Linked DNA regions of Ovis aries. The protein of the gene in region 1 binds, or shares a complex with, the protein of each later gene. Links are inferred from orthologs where the notes say so. Each region holds a gene or a part of one and is shown in the gene's direction. Other genes may lie near its edges.

Evidence for each region. The genes of interacting proteins can lie anywhere in the genome.
Region 2: ARVCF (region 1) and PA2G4 share a complex: the UniProt entries of both Homo sapiens proteins name them as parts of the ribonucleoprotein complex. The link is inferred for Ovis aries from reciprocal best matches to the Homo sapiens genes ARVCF and PA2G4.

Annotation. Positions count from the first base shown.
Region 1 is NC_056070.1:72,969,943-72,979,589, reverse strand, and holds the start of ARVCF (splicing regulator ARVCF), read left to right. Parts: upstream 1-3,574; 5' UTR 3,575-3,796; intron 3,797-9,647. Other genes in the region: TANGO2 (transport and Golgi organization protein 2 homolog), read right to left, coding at 17-146. UniProt on the Homo sapiens protein: Contributes to the regulation of alternative splicing of pre-mRNAs.
Region 2 is NC_056056.1:163,428,447-163,438,093, reverse strand, and holds the start of PA2G4 (proliferation-associated protein 2G4), read left to right. Parts: upstream 1-4,666; 5' UTR 4,667-4,857; coding exon 4,858-4,945; intron 4,946-6,734; coding exon 6,735-6,863; intron 6,864-7,114; coding exon 7,115-7,220; intron 7,221-7,312; coding exon 7,313-7,382; intron 7,383-7,634; coding exon 7,635-7,727; intron 7,728-9,177; coding exon 9,178-9,241; intron 9,242-9,481; coding exon 9,482-9,560; intron 9,561-9,647. Other genes in the region: ERBB3 (receptor tyrosine-protein kinase erbB-3), read left to right, coding at 1-94, 409-506, 594-779, 935-1,006, 1,429-1,723, 1,909-2,429. UniProt on the Homo sapiens protein: May play a role in a ERBB3-regulated signal transduction pathway. Seems be involved in growth regulation. Acts a corepressor of the androgen receptor (AR) and is regulated by the ERBB3 ligand neuregulin-1/heregulin (HRG).

The DNA of each region.
Region 1 (9,647 bases):
GGCTACAGGGCCTTACCCAGGGTGCAGCCCTGCCCAGCTCCTTGCCCTGAACTCCCGTGAGGAGGTCCTGACGACCGAGCCAGCCCAGGAAAGCTGTGTCGAGGCGCGCTTATGACCTGGCCCCGGCTGCCTCTCCGGACAGGCATCAGCTATCCCCTGCAGCGTGACCCAGGGCTCCCCGGCCCACAGCCGCGTAGCCCGCCCACCCTGGCAGGGACACCCGCCGGGCCTGCGAGGCCCGCGCTCCGTCCAGGCGGGGACACTGGAAACGTGGTTTCAGGAACGCGAGGGACGCTCCGTCGGCCGGGGTCCGCTCGGTCTCCGACCAGACCAGGCGCTGGACGGGCAATCACCGCTTCGAGAAGGGGAAATCGGGACGGGCGCGGTGGCCACTGCTGAGTCCGAGTCCCGAGCCCCGCGCCCCGCAGGGAGCGCCGCCCGCCGCCCGCATCCCGGCTCGCACTCACCGCCTCCGCCGCGGCCGCCGACTTCCGGGTGCCGCGCCCGCGCGCCGCAGCCGCCACCGCCCAGGCCCCGCCCCCTGCCGTCCGCGCGCTCGCCATTGGGCAGCCAGGCAAGGGGGCGGGGCGGCAAGGCGCGAGCCCGGGCACCAGTGGCTGCCCACGCCGTCGCTCCGGGCTGCAACTCCCCGCGCCCCGCCCCCGGGGCTGCGCCAAGCGCCCGGAGGCGCCTCGTGACCCCCGCGGGCAGGAAGGTGCCGGCCCCCAGCCCTACCCTCGTGGACACGTCCCTGGCCAGCGCTGCACGGGGCCCTGCAGGAGGGTCCGCAGGGTGCGCACCTGGGGGCTGCCTCCCCGCCTCCCAGTCCGTGCCTCTGGACTGGCCATCTTTCCCCGTTGCAGCTCTGACCGCGGACATCCCTGCTACGGTCAGGACAGACGTCGGACCGGTCACCTCAGCCGTTAACCCGCCTCGAAGCTGTTCGGCAGGGCCGACCTCAGGATGCAGGGCTGCCGGCCTGATCTCCACACCATCGCAACTGAGCAAAAGCCACTGACTAGGTCCCTTACCGGAGGACAGAGGTGTTCGCTGCGGCTCCCTGCCCACAGTGGCCTCTGGGCTGTGTCTGGGGTCTGAGTGGAGATTCAGAGGCCCAGGGCTTGCTCCAAATGGGCCCTCAGCAAACTATGACGAGGATGACGATTATAGCAAGCTTGCTAATAATGGCTCTTCCCAGGTGGCACAGTGGTACAGAATCCGCCTGCCAACGCAGGAGATGCAAGAGATGCTGGTTCGATCCCCGAATCCGGAAGATCCCTTGGAGGAGGGAATGACAACTCACTCTGCTCCTGTATTCTGGCCTGGGAAATCCCATGAGCAGAGGAGCCTGGCATGCTATGTATAGTCCTTGGGGTCAGAAAGAGGCAGATGGGCCTGAGCCCACACCCAACAAGGTGCTTTGTTGTTGTTCAGGGATTAACTTCTGTCCGACTCTTTGAGACCCCATGGACTGCAGCACACTAGGCTTCCCTGTCCCTCACTATCTTCCAGAGTTTGCTCAGATTCATGTCCTTTGAGTCGGTGATGCCATCCAACCATCTCATCCTCTGCTGCCCCCTTCTCTTCCTGCCTGCAATCTCTCCCAGCATCAGGGTCTTTGCCAATGAGTTGGCTCTTCACTTCAGTGTGCTAAATGCTCTAACCCAGCATTCCAGGACACAGTGCTCATTTTTCCACTTTAGAGATGCAAACATTGATGCTTAGAGCAATTATGTGTCACTTGCTTGAAGTCAGAATTAAGTGGCCAGTGGCAGTGGCTGGATTAATTCCACAACCCCACAGTGAGGATGTAGGTGCCTGATCCTTTCTTGGAGAGCTGATGCCCTGTGAAAACTGGGACTCAGAGAGGGCAAAGGCCTGACTGGTATTAACCCCAGGCAACAGTCCAACTCAAAGCTGCGTGACACCCCTAAAGCCCATTCCACTCCACTGCTGTGCCGTCTCATCTGCGCTGCTCCACAGAAGCCCTTTGCAGGCAAGGAAAGCAACGACTCCCTGTGTCCCGGGGCTCTCCCTGTCCCGGGGTTCCCTGGGTCCAAGGACTCCATGTCCCGGGACTCCCCGGGACTCCCCAGGCCCCCCGTGCCCAGGGCTCCGCCTGTCCTTGGGCCCCCGGTGTCCCAGGCCCCCCCCCACCCCGTGTCCAAGGTCTCCTCCTGTCCTTGGGCTCCCCGTGTCCGAGGACTCCTGGCCAGCAGGTGGCAGACCCAGCAAGAGACACTAGTCCTCCTCCTGCCACCTGGCAAGAGAGTCAAGCTGGGTGGTGCCGGTGATTCCCCTCCGGGCAGCTGGATTCTGCAGTCCAGCTGAGAGGTGGTAGTGTTGGATAAGCAGAATCCAGGGCTTGGAGGCAAGTGGCAATGCCCAGGGGGACAACAGGCAGCCGCTGCAGAGTGATCTGGCCCAAGCCACTGGGCCCAGAGGTGCGGGACCCCTAGTGACCAAGCCCTCCTGACCAGCACCTTCCCGTTTTCTGCAAAAGGGGTGCAGCCGCGCTTGGGTTAGGGAGGTGGAAAACCCACTCCGCTGTCGGCCAACGAGGTGGGTCAGGGTGGGGCCTCAGGGCGACCGCGGGTTCCCTGTCACCCTACCTCTGAACACATACATTCTTAGATGGGAGCTCGTGACCTCGTGTGGTCGCCCTTTTGACCTCAAGCATCTGCAGCTGTTGGGAGCTTCTAACATCCAGCTGACATCTGGCTCTCCCTGCAGCATGTCACACGTGCCCCAGGGATGGCCCTACAGAACTGGCCAGAAGCCAGGCAGAGGGTGGGTGAGAGTGGGGGGCGGGGCTCCTGGGCCCTGTGGCCATGGGCCAGGGGCAGAGGCCCCCTTCCCTGAACTCTGACTCCTTCCAGCCCCCATCTGCAGCCTGGGTCAGGGAGGGAGGCCAGTCCCGCGGGCCCTGCTGGGTGGGCGGAGCCCACGCTGTGATAAATTCACCCCTGAAGGAGGAGAAAAGCCACCGTTCCCGAGGGCTCCCACCCATCGGGCCTCCACAGTGGGAACGCTGGGGCGATGAGGGTGGGAGACCGCCCAGATGGACTGGGTTGGAGCCCCACCGCCTCCTCCCATGACCTAAAGCTGGCGAGAACCTCTCAACGCCTCGGTGGGTTTCCCGTCTGTAAAACGGGAGGGCAGCAGAACGCTCCCTCGCGGACTGTGAGAAATATAACTGGTGCCGTTGGGCGGGCGCGGCGTGCAGCCAACAGCAGGCGCTGGAGGAGGATACCCGGGAACTTGGGGGTGGCGATAGAGCCGACCGGCCCAAGTCCGGGGATGGGGCGCCAGGCCTGCCCCGCTTCCCGTGCGAGCCGCATGGCCTGGGCACGTCCTCGAAGGCGGCCGGGAGAGGGCGGCCAGCTGCCCGGGCCACAGCCGCATAGGTCCCGGCAGGTGCCCTGGCCTCCGTCGCTCCACGAGGGGCCGTGATCGGCAGAGACGGACACCCCCAGTGGCCAATGGCAAGCCGGCGTCTCCCCGCGCTCGTCCAGTCGGCGCCGGTTGCCGGGCCTCCCGACCAATGGGAACAGTGGCGGCGGCGGGGAGGGGCGAGGGTCGCGGCGCCGGCAGGCCGGCTTTGCGCACGGGCCGCGCAAGGGCGGAGGGCTGGCCCGGGTTGCGCGGGGCGCTGAGGGTGCGCCCCGCACCGGCGCGATCGGAGGCCCCCGGACGGTCACCCGCGCCCGCCCGGGGACGCCGCGCGCCGAGGGACCGGCGGACGCCCGTCTGGGGCGGGGGCCGTTCTGCGGCACCGCCCACAACCGCGCTCCAGGTAAGCTCCGGCCGGGAACCCGGGTCGGGGTCGGGCCGGCACCCGGGCTGCGGGCCGGGCAAGGGCCGGAATCGAGGTCTGGGCAGAGGTCAGTGCCGGGGGTCCAGGCCGGCCCCGCTCCACCCGCACCGCCCCGCGGTGCGCGAGATCCCGGACCGGCGGGGGCGGGTCCCTTTGTGCGCGGCCTGGGGTCCTGCCCGGCCGGCCGTGCGCCTCGCTCCGCGCACCCCTCCGGTCGCGGCACAACCTGAGCCGTGTCCGCCCTACTCGACCCGGCGCCTTGGGCCGGCGCCACGCAGCCACGGAAACTTTCCATCGGCCGAGCGGATCAGGGGCTGGGGAACTTTCCTGGGGCGGCTAGCCGCCGGGAAGCACCCGCACGGCGGGGACGGGGAATGCCCCGGCGCCGGCGCCGCGCCCGCCGCCCAGAGGACGAGGGAGGGAATGCTGCCCGGGGCCCCTGCCCGGAGCCCCAACCTCGCTCCCCATCCTCGCGTCCCCTGCGCCCCGCTGGTGGGTCCCCAAACCGCTGGTGTGAGTCGCGTTCCCCTCGGGACTCGGACCAGATTGGCTGTTATCCTGAGCACGCAGCAGGAGATCCCCAGCCTGCTTCTTTTGATCTTAAATAATTAAATATTGGGTTATTACAACATGTCACCATTTCTAACCTCTGCGCAACGTGTCACAGTGAAAGCAGGAATTGGAGGCTCCCGTGCCCCTTTAACCCAAACCCAAAGGTGTTTAGGGACAAGGAGAAAAGCTGCTCCAAGGGTCTCATTCTGTGTGTGACCCGCTCTCCCTCGCACCCCTTTAACAGGTCACCCGAGTTGCCGCGCAGGGCCCGCGCCAGGTGAGGGTCTGTGAGCCCAGGGGCGTCCTTCCGATGAGGGCACGCCCAGCCCCGCACTGGGAGCCTCGGGGTCCAGGCTTCCGGAGGTCCTGCCGGCCCAAGCAGGTCCCACCTGCCCTGTCTCAGTGTATCTGGACCCGCAGCAGTCAGTTCCCGAGCAGGTGGTCTGGGTCTGGGGCTCCGCCACAGCGTGTGGAGCTGTGAACCTGGCACTCGTGTCTTCCCGCAGCCTCGCCTGTCCCTTCCGCAGCACCCTGTCTCTCCCCCATCTTCCTCACCCCCTAGTCTGAGGTCCTCCGGCACCCAGCCCAGAGCTGGGCATAGAGCCCGCACTGCACTCAGGACTCTGGTCTGGCCCTGGCCTGGGGAGGAGGTCCTGCAACCACAGTCCGGCTAGCCCCCACCCCGCTCTCCACGTGGGCACGATGCCTGCTACCCACGTGCCTCCTGGGGGAGCAGGGCCTGCCCTCAGTCCTGCCAGGCTAGAGCTGCCCCGCCCTCCGCCCCGGCCTGGGCCACATACCTCCCCCCAGGGTGGCCCCTCAGGTCACTTCTTGGTGCCAGGGTCCCTCTGCATCTCCCAGTTTCCCCGGGGGCTGCACCACCAGCCCCATCTGTGCTGCGCAGGATTCAGACGGGCTCTCTCTCCTCCACCCCCGGGCCACCAGTGAGATCCTCCACCTCCAAGAGGACCAAGGGGTGGATGGAGACACCAGCCCACCTGAACCAGCGGGAGGGAGGGAGGGAAGGAGGGGCAGCTGGGGCGGAGGTCCTGGGGTAGGTGCTGTGGGGTGCCAGGGAGGTGGCCGGGTTCCCGGGGCTTGCCCCAGCAGCGGCTCGCTCTGCTGCCTCATCCGACAAGACTCAGATGAGGTGTCAGCCACTCCGCAGGAACCCCAGAGTCAGAGCGTAAGTGGGAACTCGGGGTCAGAGAGTTACGGGGGGCACTCGGGGTCAGAGAGGAACTGAGGGGACTCAGGGTCAGAGAGTTACAGGGGGCACTCGGGGTCAGAGAGTTACGGGGGGGCACTCAGGGTCAGAGAGTTACGGGGGGCACTCGGGGTCAGAGAGTTACGGGGGGCACTCGGGGTCAGAGAGGAACCAGCGGGACTGGGGTCCAAGAAGAATGAGCAGGGGGACTCGGGGTCAGGAGCTCCTTCCTGGGGCTTCGCCTGGAGGCCGGCGCAGCCGACCGGCCCGGAGCTGCGGGGCATCTGCATTACTCGCCAGGTCCCTCCCCCTTGCCCCTCCCCGGGTGGTGGGGGGCGGTGGGTGTGAGGCACAGCCCCCCCCCCCACCCCGGGGCCCTGGCCGACCCGGAGCGCCGGCGCCCTCCAGCAGAGCAGGCACAAGCTGAGTGCGGCCACCAGAGGGCGCCCGGGGCCGCCGCAGCCAGCAAGAGCGGCTCCACCCAGCCCCCCAGTGCGGGGCGGGGGCGGGGAGGGGGGGTGCGGGCGGGGGGTGGGCCGGGGGGCGCGGGGGGGGGTGCGGGGGGTGCAGGGGGGCCGGGGGGTGCGGGGGGTGGTGGTGGTGAGGATGACCCCTTCCCCAGGCGCCCAGAGGCACTCACTGGAGCTTTGCTCTGTCCGGGCCCCCTGCCCAGGGCGGGGAGCTGGAGACAGCACGGCCCCTGGGTGCTGGACACAGCAGGAGAGCAGGCTGGGGCCGGGCTCCCAGTGGCCATCCTGTCATGCACGGCCCCAGGGCCCAGGCCAGGCCTCAGCGCCAGCCACTCAACACCAGGCTGTGCCTCTCTGCCTCAGTGTCCTGGGTGGCACAGAGGGCACAGCCAAAGGGGGGCCTTTCAAGATGCACGGAGTGACCAGTGGCCAGCAGGGCTGGCCAGGATTTCCATGGTGGAGCAGGATTCCAGGCTAAGCACAGGGCAAGCTTGGGCTCCTCACCACCCTTCATGGCCCAGAGCTGCTGGCCCATGCCCCCAGCCCCCAGCCTGGGCCCCATCCCCCGGCCCCCCAGCCTGGTCCCCACACCCCTCCAGACTGGGGTTGTGCCGTGGGGGCTCCCTCACGCTGCCAGGTGTCTCTGATCTGTGCTTGCTATCGTGGCTCTTGGCCGGCCCCTGCAGAGGGTTGCTGCCAGCCGGGGACATCGCAGGCCTTTCCGGGGCAGGAGCAGCCCTCTCAGAGCCCGGGCTCTTGGTGCAGGGTCCTTGTTTAGCTGGGACCGCTGAGCCCGCCCACCGGCTCTGAGGGTTGCTGAGGAGGGCCCCCTGAGCCAGGCACCCTCAGCCTCATGGCACAAGCCCCGCCGCTACTACTGCCTTCATGCCTCAGGCCTGCCCGTCTGTCTGTCCATCCACGGCCCCAGGGCTCTTAAGAGGCTCTGCCCCCAGCACCCAGGGTACAGTGCTGCCCAGGCGAGGCGCCCTGGGCACGCAGACCCTGCCCAGGTCCACACCCACCACGCGCCATCCAGACCCTCCCAGTTCTCAGTCCTTCTCGCCCTCACGATGCCCCCCACCCCCATACTGGCCTGGACCCTGGGTCGCCTGTTGGCCCACTGGAGCCCACTGGAGCCCCCGAGGTGGGAGCCGTGTTCTTCCTGCGGTTAGGTCGTTATCAGGACTGACAATAAAGGCACATTCTTCTCGTGGGACGAGGTCTTTGTCAACGCTTAAGCCAGAAGCAGCTGTGCCCCAGACATATCACATTCGGAGCAAACGCTGATTCCTGACCTCGGTGGGGGCCACAGGTCCCGCCACAGCGGGCAGACTCCCAACCATACCTCCCTCCCAGGCACACACGTGGACACGCGTGCACACGTGCCTGGCTCGAGGCCCCTCCCCCCCACCCCACCCCCCGCCTTCTTTCTTAGCTCTGGCCCTAGCCTCCTGCTCTCCCGTCACGATCCTGCCCCAACTGGAAGCCCTTCCCCTTGTTGAAGGGGCTGCCAGGAGGCAGAAGGCCGCACCCTCAGGCCCCAGAATGAGCCATGTCCACAAGGAAAGTTTGGATGGAGGCTTGAGACCACGGGTGACAATGCAGAGTAGGGGGGAGATCTCCCATCACTGTGGTCCCTGGGGGGGGGCTAGCGCCTGTCAAACCACCTTGCTTTTCGTTTTTCAGCAGTATCGCCAGGCCTAGCTGCAAGCAGAGGGGAGGCGTCCCCAGGCCTGACACAGGTGGAGGGGAGGCATCCCCAGGCCTAGCTGCAAGCAGAGGGGAGGCGTCCCCAGGCCTGACACAGGTGGAGGGGAGGCGTCCCCAGCACCCTGACTGAGACAGGCAGCTGCAAGGTCCTCGGTCTGGGCCTGGGAGGCTCGCTGTCTCCCTAGGAGGCATGCGGACGGGGCCAGCCTCAGGGGACTTGGGGGAGGTGGGTCGTGGACCCCTGCTCTGGCCCTGGTGTGGGAGCATACCACAGCAGAGCGCACCCAGCCTCGGGAAGCCGGAGCGGTTATCTGCTTACAACTCTTACGCTCCAGGTTTTGAAGGATAGTCAGAAAGAAGCGTAAGAAACACCCAGGCAGCCAATGCTAAGTGTGGACGCGACAGACCCAGTGCGAGAGGGCACGAGAATGTGCTCAGGGTCCTGTGGGGCGGGCCCCTGTCAGCGCGCCGTAGGATGCCCCTGGGCTGGGATGACCAGCCAGGGTCTGACCCTGTCCAGTAGGGACTCAGCCCCACAGATGGGCCTCAGCAGGTGCCCTCTGGATGAAGAGCCCACCGATGGGTGTCTGGATGTGCTGACCTCCCCGGGGACGTTCCGTCCTCACACGGGTAGAAGGCAGGGCGGCTTGTGGTCAACAGAAGGACGGACTGGGGCCTGAGTGTGTGTGTGCGTGCCTCTGGTCAGCCTCAGCCCAGGTGGGCACAGTGCCCCAAGCTGGACAGGGCTAGCCGTGAGGCCTCCTGCCAGCCCCGCTTGAATTCACCAACGGGCTGGGCGTGGACCACAGATACTGGCTTGTGGGACGCCCCTGCGTTGGGGACAGCCCACCAGGACATCAGCCGGGCAGGTCTGTGCTGCCCTGACGTGGACGTCCGGCCGGTCGGTGCCCACGTGTTGCACAGGCCGCCAGCTCTGATCCTGCTCGGGGCCGCTCCCGCAGAACCAGAGAGGCTGGAGCCACCAGGAGTGACGGGCCACAGGCCCAGGCGCTGTGGGAGGCTTTGGCCAGCGGGGCCACGGTCAGAGGGGGAGGAGCTGTGCACGGCGTGTGCCGGCCCTGCTCTGTGGCGACAGCTCCAGGGGCACAGGGCGCGGCGTCCCGGGAGGGAGGCAGGGACGGAGGCAGAGGGGGCCCCGGGCCCACATGGCCGGGCAGTCCGTTTGCCATGCCAATGGACTCGCGGAGGGTGGCGGACTCTGAGAACACCAGCCCAGCGTCTCAGTGGCCAGGCTGCGGGGCCGTGCGGGGCCTGCTGAGTCGGGATGAGGAGGCGCGACCCGCATCCAGGCTGTGGGGCCTCTTGGGGTCAGGGCCGTGCGCAGTGGGCACTGAGGGCTTGTTACAGCCTTTCAATGTTTGCCTCTGGTCGGTGACTTTCTGTCTGAGAAAGTTTCAAACTTTGCATGCTCTACGCGGAAGCTATGGAAGTCTTCTTCTTCCGACGGTTCCATGTCCCACATGTGTCCTCTGAGCATGGCCGGGCGAGCACACGTTCGTCCACCCCACCGGTGTTTCCAGGTCGGCGTCCACGCCCGAGATTTCACCCACCTGGAGTCTGCGTTGACGCAGATGGGGGACGAGGGCTGAGCTTGGTTGACACAGTCATATCTGAACCATTACCTGGCCGACATGTCCTGTCAGCGGAGACTGGAAACCTCGTTGGACACTCAGGCCAACCAGCCTCTGTGTGGGACAGTTCCGGGCGGCCTCGAGCTGGCCCCGCAGGTGCGGGCCGGTCCAGGCTGTCGGGGGGCCCCTGCCGCGCTGGCCCTGTGCACGCGGGTCCCACTCTGGTCTCCCTGAGTCTCCAGCCTGTCTGAGCCCCCTTGGTGACCGAGAACAGGTCCGTGCTGTGGGGAAGCCTCTTG
Region 2 (9,647 bases), on another chromosome or scaffold:
CGACTGGCTGAAATACCAGACCTGCTGGAGAAGGGGGAGCGGTTGGCACAACCCCAGATCTGTACCATTGATGTCTACATGGTCATGGTCAAGTGTGAGTTACCTGCTGATCTCAGCTTTTTTATTTTTTTTTAGTTCATTATTGCTTCATTGAACTGAAGAAAAAAGAAAAATAAGGGCACAGATAAATAATGCTCAGTGATGAAAAGTGAATACCCAGAACAGCGGTGCATGCCCCAGATGGTCTCTGCCCAATAAACATTAAGCACTTTCCACATTATTGTGATGCTGTTGGATGTCAGGCTTTCCACACAAAGACAAGGGAACAAAGCATTGCTATTTTATAAGTGACTTCCCTCCCTATTCCACTCCCCTCTTATGGCTCTGCTTCCTGTATCTTATCCCCAGGTTGGATGATTGATGCGAACATTCGCCCGACCTTTAAAGAACTAGCCAATGAGTTCACCAGGATGGCCCGAGACCCACCACGGTATCTGGTCATAAAGGTGAGTAGAGACCTGGAGGTGCCAAGATCTAGAGAAAGGGGAACTTGGCTGGAGCCAGGATCTATCTTAACAATCTCTGCTTCATAGAGAGAGAGTGGGCCTGGAACTACCCCTGGGGCAGAGCCCCCGCCTCTGACAAACAAGGAACTGGAGGAAGTAGAGCTGGAGCCAGAACTAGACCTGGACCTGGAGTTGGAGGCAGAGGAGAATCCGGCAGCTACACTAGGCTCTGCCCTTAGCCTGCCAATTGGAACACTTAATCGACCACGTGGGGTAAGACACTTTCCAGTTTCCTAAGACTTTATAAGCCATCTGTACACCTGCACCCTCATGAACTCCACAGATGTCCATATTAATTACTCAAAGGCCTTTCTAGTGAGCAGATTTCTCTCTCAATCTAAATCTCTTCCTCACTTTTTTCATCCTAGAGCCAGAGCCTTGTAAGTCCATCATCTGGATATATGCCTATGAACCAGGGAAATCTTGGGGAGGTTGGCCAGGTAAGGTCTGTTTAGGAGGAGGCCAAGATGCTATACTTAAAGTGGATAACCAACGAGTACCTACTGTATAGGGCAGAGAACTCTGCTTCAAGATTCTGTAACAACCTAGTTGGGAAAAGAATTTGAAAAAGAATAGATGCACATATAACTTTGTTGTACACCTGAAACTAACATAACATTGTTAATCAACTAGGCTCCAATATAAAATAAAACATTTTTTTAAAAATTAATAAAAGAGGATACCAAGAGGTTGGGTGGCAGTGCCTTAGGATTGGTAGGTAGTAGCAGGGGAGACTTTGGAAATCTCGTTTGATCAGGGTTCTACAAAACAGAAGGTGCTGAACAGCCTAATCTCTTTCTAGACAAATTTCTCTTCTTCGCTCGTTTCTGTATAAATCACCATGTATTATTCTCCTCCTTAGGAGTCTGCAATTTTTGGAGGCAATGAACGGTACCCTCGTCCAGCCTCTCTGCACCCAATGCCACGGGGACGCCTGGCATCAGAATCATCGGAGGGCCATGTGACAGGCTCCGAGGCTGAGCTCCAGGAGAAGGTGTCTATGTGTAGGAGCCGGAGCCGGAGCCCACGGCCAAGGGGAGACAGTGCCTACCATTCCCAGCGCCACAGCCTGCTTACTCCTGTCACCCCACAGTCCCCACCAGGGTTAGAGGAAGAGGATGTCAATGGTTATGTCATGCCAGATGCACGCATCAAAGGTGCCTGATTCTGCTCTGCTTTCCTCAAATCTTTCTCTAATCCTCCTTTTGCAGGCTCCTCTTAATCCTTTTGTCTTCCCCGAGCATATCCTTCCCTATTCATTTTTTCCTAACATCCTTCTACTCCCCACTGCCTATTACCATGAAGTAATACCACATACCTAGCCTCTCTTCTCTACCCCTAGGTACCTCCTCCCGGGAAGGCACCCTTTCTTCAGTGGGTCTCAGTTCTGTTCTGGGTACAGAAGACGACGATGATGAGGAATATGAATACATGAACCGGAGGAGAAGGTGCAGTCCATCTCGTCCTCCTAGGCCAAGTTCCCTCGAGGAGCTGGGTTATGAGTACATGGATGTGGGATCAGACCTCAGTGCCTCCCTGGGCAGCACACAGAGTTGCCCACTCAACCCCGTGCCCAACATGCCCAACGCCAGCACAACTCCAGATGAGGACTATGAATATATGAATCGGCGACGTGGTGGAGGAGGCGCTGGGGGGGACTATGCAGCCATGGGCGCCTGCCCAGCCTCTGAGCAAGGGTATGAAGAAATGAGAGCTTTCCAGGGGCCTGTACTCCGTGGGCCCCAGGTCCACTATGCCCGCCTCAAAGCTTTACGTAGTTTAGAAGCCACTGACTCTGCCTTTGATAACCCTGATTACTGGCATAGCAGGCTTTTCCCCAAAGCTAATGCCCAGAGAATATAACCCTTACTCACTGAGGTGCTCAGGGAGCATTTGATGGCAGCTAGTGCCTCTGGAGAGTAACCCTCTTCTTGGTCTCTCTCCCTCACAGGTCTCAGCCCCATTTCCTAGTCCTAGACAATTCCATTCAAATTATGGAGGCCTTAAACACTTTGACACAAATTTCTTGTGGTTATGTAGCCAGCTGTGCACTTTTTCTCTTTCCTGATCCCAGGAAAGGAGATGGTTTTCCCTATTTTGTGTGCTTTCCCAATCCCATTCCTCAGCTTCCTCAGGGGAACTCCCTGGAGATATGAAGGATTACTCTTGTCCCTTTTTCTTAGACTCTGACTTGTTGACACTAGGCTTTAAAGTATGCCTTTATTTCCCTTTAGACTTTAAAGGAAGAGGAAAGGGGGGAACCTGGCAGGGGAAAGGAAAATTTTGGCTTACGATCCTTAACCCTGCAGAAAGAATGAGAAGTGAAATCTTGTGGAGTGAAGAAAGAGGTTGGGAGTAGATATTAATGATTACTATTAATTGAGCATTTACTATGTGCCAAGCATCCTGCTAAACTTTACCTAAATTTATCTCACTTCATCCTTGACATCAACTCTGTGACCTAGGTATTAGCCTATTTTACAAATAAGGAAACTGAGCCTTAGAGAGGGACTTGCCTGATGGCTCAGTGGGTTAAGAATCCGCCTGCAATTCAGGAGACACAGGAGACACGGGTTCGAACCCTGGGTCGGGTAGATCCCCTGGAGGAGGGAATGGCAACCCACTCCAGTATTCTTGCCTGGAGAATCCCATGGATAGAGGAGCCTTAAAGAGATTAAGTAAATCAAGTAGCAGGTCCATGATTCAAAATCTTCCAATGCATGTGCTCTTACTGTAAGGTATCAAGGAAAACTGATGTAAGCCAGAGCCCTGGTAAGGGGCATTGTCTTCTTGTTTTTGCACTGAATCAAGTCTAACTCCAACAACTACTGTAGCCTCCTCCTTCACCCTGACCTCTTATCCTAGAAGTGGAAGGGGGTGGTCAGAAGGAAAAATAACTGGACATCTCTGTGTAAACCGTAGCCTACATGTGCTGTATATGAGCTCCACCCAAGGGACAGATTCACGGGGGTCCCAAGAGCCACTTTCAGGAGCTATTCTCATCCAGTCGTGGGAAGCTTCCAGTAGGGATAGAAAGAGGACCCAGCTTCAGACCTCTGTCCCTTTGGATGGGAAACTGGGGTATCTGTTTTTATCCCTGAAATTTTTTGTTTTGTTTTTATACGTCTGAATAAAAATGCCAAAGTTTTGCAGCTTTCTGTCTGTCAAATGAAAACCTGTCAAAGTGTATGAGATAGAACACTCTTTTTCCCTGTCTCTCAGCAGTGGATGCTTCTGTCTCTTGACAATCCTACTGGGCCCCATGTCGCTTTCTCCATCCCTACTTTTCCTTATTCCCTTAAGACGAGCATAGAGCACAGTCCTTTTCATTTTAGGGTTTTACTATTAAATCTCTATAGGGCAACCAACTGGGAATAACAAAACAACGCGTTCAGGGACGTTAGAAAAAGTCCTAAGAGGTAGAATACTGAAATTCATGTTTTAAAACTCATTCTCTTAAAAAAAAAGTCTCCGTGAACACTTCCCCCAGATGGCCATCAAAGCTTGTTAGAACAACAGTGCCATCTTCAGTGGGAGTCCGGTCTTTAGATCGGGATAATCGCTCAGAAATCTGGCTGCCCAAGCAGCCCCTGCTTCCCGGACTCCCTCCCGATCTTTTTCCATACCTGCTCTGCCCCTCCCGGTTCTCCCAGCACCTGAGGACAAGAGGACTGGCCCGGCCGGTCTTGCCGGCCGCTCCAGGGACTCAGGGAAGGGCGTATCCCACCTCCCCACCCTTATTACGATCCTCCCGACTCGCCTCGGCTCCACCCCGCCCCTCAGCCTCCAAACCTATTTCGCTGCCGTAGCTCCGCCCCTCCCCCTTACCCCGCCCCTCTCTATTACGGGTTATCTCTCGTCGTTCCTGGTGTATATGGTTTTTCAGGGAGAAACCACGCTTCTCCTCGTGCTTTCCAACGGCTCCGCCTTCCCGCCGGAGCCTGACCCTTCCCAGCGTGCTCGGCGATTCCAGCGTGCGAGGCTCTCGGAGGGCAAGGCCCCAGGGCCTGGCTTAGGGGCGCGAAAAGCATGCTGGGGATTGTAGTTCAGTAGTCCACGAGGGCGGCTAGGGGTTGGCAGTAGGAGGGACTCATTGTCCCAGCGTGCCCTGCGCCTCAGCCCGCGCGTTCGCAGTTTCTCGCTCTCGCCTGCCCTCCCGCTCCCTAGCTTGCTCGCGCTTTTGCTCGCGGTCTGTTCTCGGATCGAAGGGGTTTCTGACCACAGCTTGTGGCTGAGAAGGGCGACAGAGGCGGCGGCTCAAGAGAAACGAGGCTGCGGTGGTGGTGGGAAGATGTCGGGCGAGGACGAGCAACAGGAGCAAACTATCGCCGAGGACCTGGTCGTGACCAAGTATAAGATGGGGGGCGACATTGCTAACCGTGAGTGCGGCCTCAGGGGTCCGAATATTGAGGCTGGGAGGGAGAATCAAGGGAGACGGTGATGGGTTGGCTCCTGAGAGCTGGAGTGGTGGGGTCACGCAGTGTGGGTTAGTGAGGGCCCAGTTCAGGTCTGCTGGAGGTGGCGTGGTGGGCAGGCTCCGTGTCGCGCCTGGGACCCGAGAGGCTGGGCCTGGGCTGGAGTCTCTGGAGATTCTGGCGGACGGTCGGCAGGGCGGCTGGGAGAAGAGCAGAGCTGGGCCCCTGGCCAGCCCCGACCCTAGGCCGTTGGTAAGGAGGCGAGGTGTACCTCCTGTTCCTCACCCTTCAGTTCAGATTTCTGCCTCTGATATTGGTGGCAGCGAGACCACCTCGAAAATGAAGCGCTTCTATTTTGTCGCGGCTCCCCGCCGTCAGGAGCCTGGCCCGCACGTGTTGCCAGGTCCCCTGCGGCTCGCCGGCTACCTTCCTCCGCTGTGTCCCTGACACCAGCTTGCCTACCACGTGCTTTGCTGTAGTCCTTCGTTCTTTACTTCAACTCCTTCCCTGGTGGAGGCCGCCTTCTACTCTAGGGCCAACTCAGGGACTATTAGAGAGCACCCCATAACTCTTGTTTGACTGTTCTTGAAGTTGTTCATTGTACCTCCAATCTGCGGGGTTGGCTTTAGTTAGTCGTCTAATTTGATCTTAGGTGTTTCACAACTGTGGGAGTGTTTTGAGGTCCTTCTCACCCCAGCCAGTCAAACCTATGAATAGTGCTGTTAAAGGGGGTCTGAAGTTAGAATCTCGTAAGTCATCCTTAATAAGATTGTGCTCTTGACTTTCTCAGCAGCTGCCTGCCACTCTCTACAGATGTCTCGCTTTCTATTTTCTCTCTTTACAATTTAAAACCCAGTTAGAGGACACAAAATGTTTGTCTTTGGGCTTTTAAATGGTTCTGACAGTAAAGACAGGCATTTAGGATGCTTTTGATCCTGTGACTGAAAATCTGAGTTTTTCATACTTTCAAAAAATCACCAAAACTTGGATCACAAAAATAAAATCTGAAGTCCAGGATGGACCATGGAGAGGGTATGGGTGAACAGAATAAATGCTTTGTAACACAATGGATATGTAGTGGTTTAAATCAGGAAAAAAAATTTTCCCTCTTGCAGTTTATAACTTCTGAGGCACCTGTGATTCCCAGTACCAGTTTGAAACTCTTTTGGGTCACATACTTCTTTGAGCCCAGGGACCAAGGTTAAGTCTTCTTGACTTGTTATTTGAAGAAATAAGTCTACATAAATTGAGATTACTAACACCTCCTAATTGGGGTGTCTGGGAAAGGAAGAAAGTAGCATTTAACAATGCATCAGCTTAGAGTCAGCAATTGTATGTCTACCTTCTTGTCCCTGGTGCCTATAAATTTCCTCCAGTCTCCTTTGCATGTGTTGGATATCTTGGTGAGAATGCCCTTGAAGTTCATAAATCTCCTACCATACCACAAGTATCATCTTTGGAAAGTCTCCCTTGCCTTAGGAGACAGGTGATGCATACCTAGCTGTCACACTATATAAAGGAGGGAAGGGAGTGTTGGCTTTTTTAAGTTAAGGAGAGGAAGGTAGAGATTTATAGAGATGACAGGTACATTCTAGGAGGCAAAACATATTCCTCTTTTTTTTATCCTTAGAGCAGTGGTACTAGGGAATATTTCTAAGTTGGACTCAGAAACTCTAAGTCCGACTTCTAGGTGTTTCTTGGACATTAACTTAGACAACACATTCAGGACTGATATATGGGATTCTGTTCCCAGGGGTACTTCGGTCTTTGGTGGAAGCATCCTGTTCAGGTGTGTCGGTACTGAGCCTGTGTGAGAAAGGGGATGCCATGATAATGGAAGAAACAGGGAAGATTTTCAAAAAAGAAAAAGAAATGAAGAAAGGTAAAAAAACAATCCCCTCCTAATTAAGTTTGACCCTTATTGAGTCCTGTTTGTTTTACTGTAATAATGCAACCTTTACCCCAGCACTGGTTGAGATATTTGGAAATTTGGAATGGCAAGGGGAATTCAGTTTCCCACTCAATCCAGACTGATCAAACTTAAGACCCTGAAGAAAATCCATTCATTTTTCAGAGGGGCAGGAGGGTTCCAAGAGAGCGAGCAGGGCAGTAAGGCTGATTGTTTCTTTACAGGTATTGCCTTTCCCACCAGCATTTCAGTAAATAACTGTGTATGTCACTTCTCCCCTTTGAAGAGCGACCAGGACTATATTCTCAAGGAAGGTGACTTGGTAAAAATGTAAGCTTAAACCATTTTAGAGCACTTGTCTTTTTCCTCGGCATTCACAATAGTGCCAGTTGCTAATGCTGTACTCTGCTCTTGCCTTTCAGTGACCTTGGGGTCCACGTGGATGGCTTCATCGCTAATGTGGCTCACACTTTTGTGGTTGATGTGGCTCAGGTAGGTGGACTGCTTTGAACTCTATGCAGCCAGTGGGGAGCTGGGGAGGGTTCACTGCTGCTGGGTTGTTTTTTTTTTTCCCACTGCTGCCTCTTATCCTCACCTACTACCACGACATTAAGTTTTGAGAATCTCTAAAGAATAAAAGGGGAAAGGGTGGTTTCTCTCCTGACCACTGGATACATAATGGACACACAGATATTAACTGATCAGCTTTTTTGGAAGGCACTGACTGAATTTCCTCCTCTACAGGGGACCCAAGTAACAGGGCGGAAAGCAGATGTCATTAAGGCAGCTCACCTTTGTGCTGAAGCTGCCCTACGCCTGGTCAAACCTGGAAATCAGGTGAGCTGTTTAGTCCAAGTCCAAAGCTTGATAGAGCCAAAGGTGCGTTCAGGATGTACTGCTATTCTATACTGAAAGAGAAGAGGCAGGAACTAAAAGAGTTTAAACCGAAGAGATGTTAAATCTTAGTGCCTACCTTAGGTGGTATGATGCTCACTGTAAGGGGATGATGGGTGCTCCTTTTCTTATGGAGCCTATAGAGATCCTTCCTTTTTCATGTTTTGGATGTGTATTGTTCCTGGAAATAATTTGAGATAGATAGCTCACAATAAAACACAGATATTGAAACTAAGTTTTAAAAGCTTATAACACAAAAATAATAATAGTACCAGTAAATTTGTGGCAAAGAAAGGCCAAAGACCCTTCCAAGACAATATTAGGACGTCCAGGGATCATAAATTTCTCATGAATTCATACAATAACATGTTAGACTACTAGTGGAGACTTTGTCTAACACTTAGATTTCAGAACCTGTTCAATACATAAAGCATCCTCTTTCTCTGTGCTCTTCACCCTTTTTATCCGTTTGTCCCCATTATCACTTAATTGCATCGTTTTTACTTCAGCCTCTGTTGTAGTTTTCTTGCAGTGGTATCTATCAAAGAGCTATTATAAAGCACTTTGAATAGTACCTGGCACAGAGTTAACCCTTTTGTTAGCTATTAATATTTTACATATTGATTATTTTTATTATTTATATGCTTACTATAAGATACTATTAATGTAGTGGCTGTTGTCTAGCTATGACCTGAGACTTTCTGGATTCTCATCCCATTACCACCCACTACTGATTTAAAATGAAATAACTTCAAAATTTCCTCATCTGTAAAGTGGGAAAAATTAAATTGTGCCTCATTCTCACAGGGTTGTGAAGATTGAGATGATCCATATAAAGTGATTATCACAGTACCTGACATGTAGTTTAATAATAGCTATGATTGGAAATTCACTTTTCTTTTTCTCTTAACTATAATTTAGGTGAGGATCAGCTCATGATTGAAAGAGGTAAAGAGGACAAAATAAAACTTTCTGTACCCTTTCAACAGGTTAGAATGCCAGGTATCATGGACTAAACACTGTGATCCGAAAACCTGAGTTTATACCAGGTTCTTTTGGTTAACTGGTTTAACCTTGAGCAAATCATATAACCCTTCTGAGCCTCAGTTTCCTCCTCCAAATTAGGATGTAGATTACCATACAGAATTGTTGGCACTAGTCACCTTACAGAATTGTTGTCTAAGCAGACCATCTTTGTGATAGTGCTTTGTAAAATGGTATGCAAATTTGATTTCTAGGTTGTAAGATGCTAGGGCTATGAAATGAAAAATTACTGAGAATCATTGCATTTGCTGGAGGATATTAGAACTCAGTTCTTTATGCTGCTGCTTCTCATAGTAGACAACTTACTAGCTCCTGGTATTTTACGTTTTATTTGATCTTGTACTTCTAGAACACACAAGTGACAGAAGCCTGGAACAAAGTTGCCCACTCATTTAATTGCACACCAATAGAAGGTGAGACTTCAGATAGTGGGGTTGAGGGTCTCAGTATGAGTGGTTTAGCAGAATTAAGACTTTTGTTCCCTTGAGCATCCACCCTGGCTCTGGCATAATCCAAGCCGCAAACCTCAGTGCCCCGTTTCCATAGCTGGGCACTTTGCTCTCATTGCCTGCTCCGTGGCTCTACTTGGGTAGGTGGGTTGGAAACCTTTGGGGATTCTAGATGAGTGGTGCCACAGGCTTTGTCCTCTACAGGTATGCTGTCACACCAGTTGAAGCAGCATGTCATTGATGGAGAGAAAACCATTATCCAGAATCCCACAGACCAGCAGAAGTAGGTGCCCTGTATCCCACTGTCTACCTTCTGTCATATAAGACTAGTTACGAAGTTCTTCCATACTCCAGGCTAATCTTATCCACC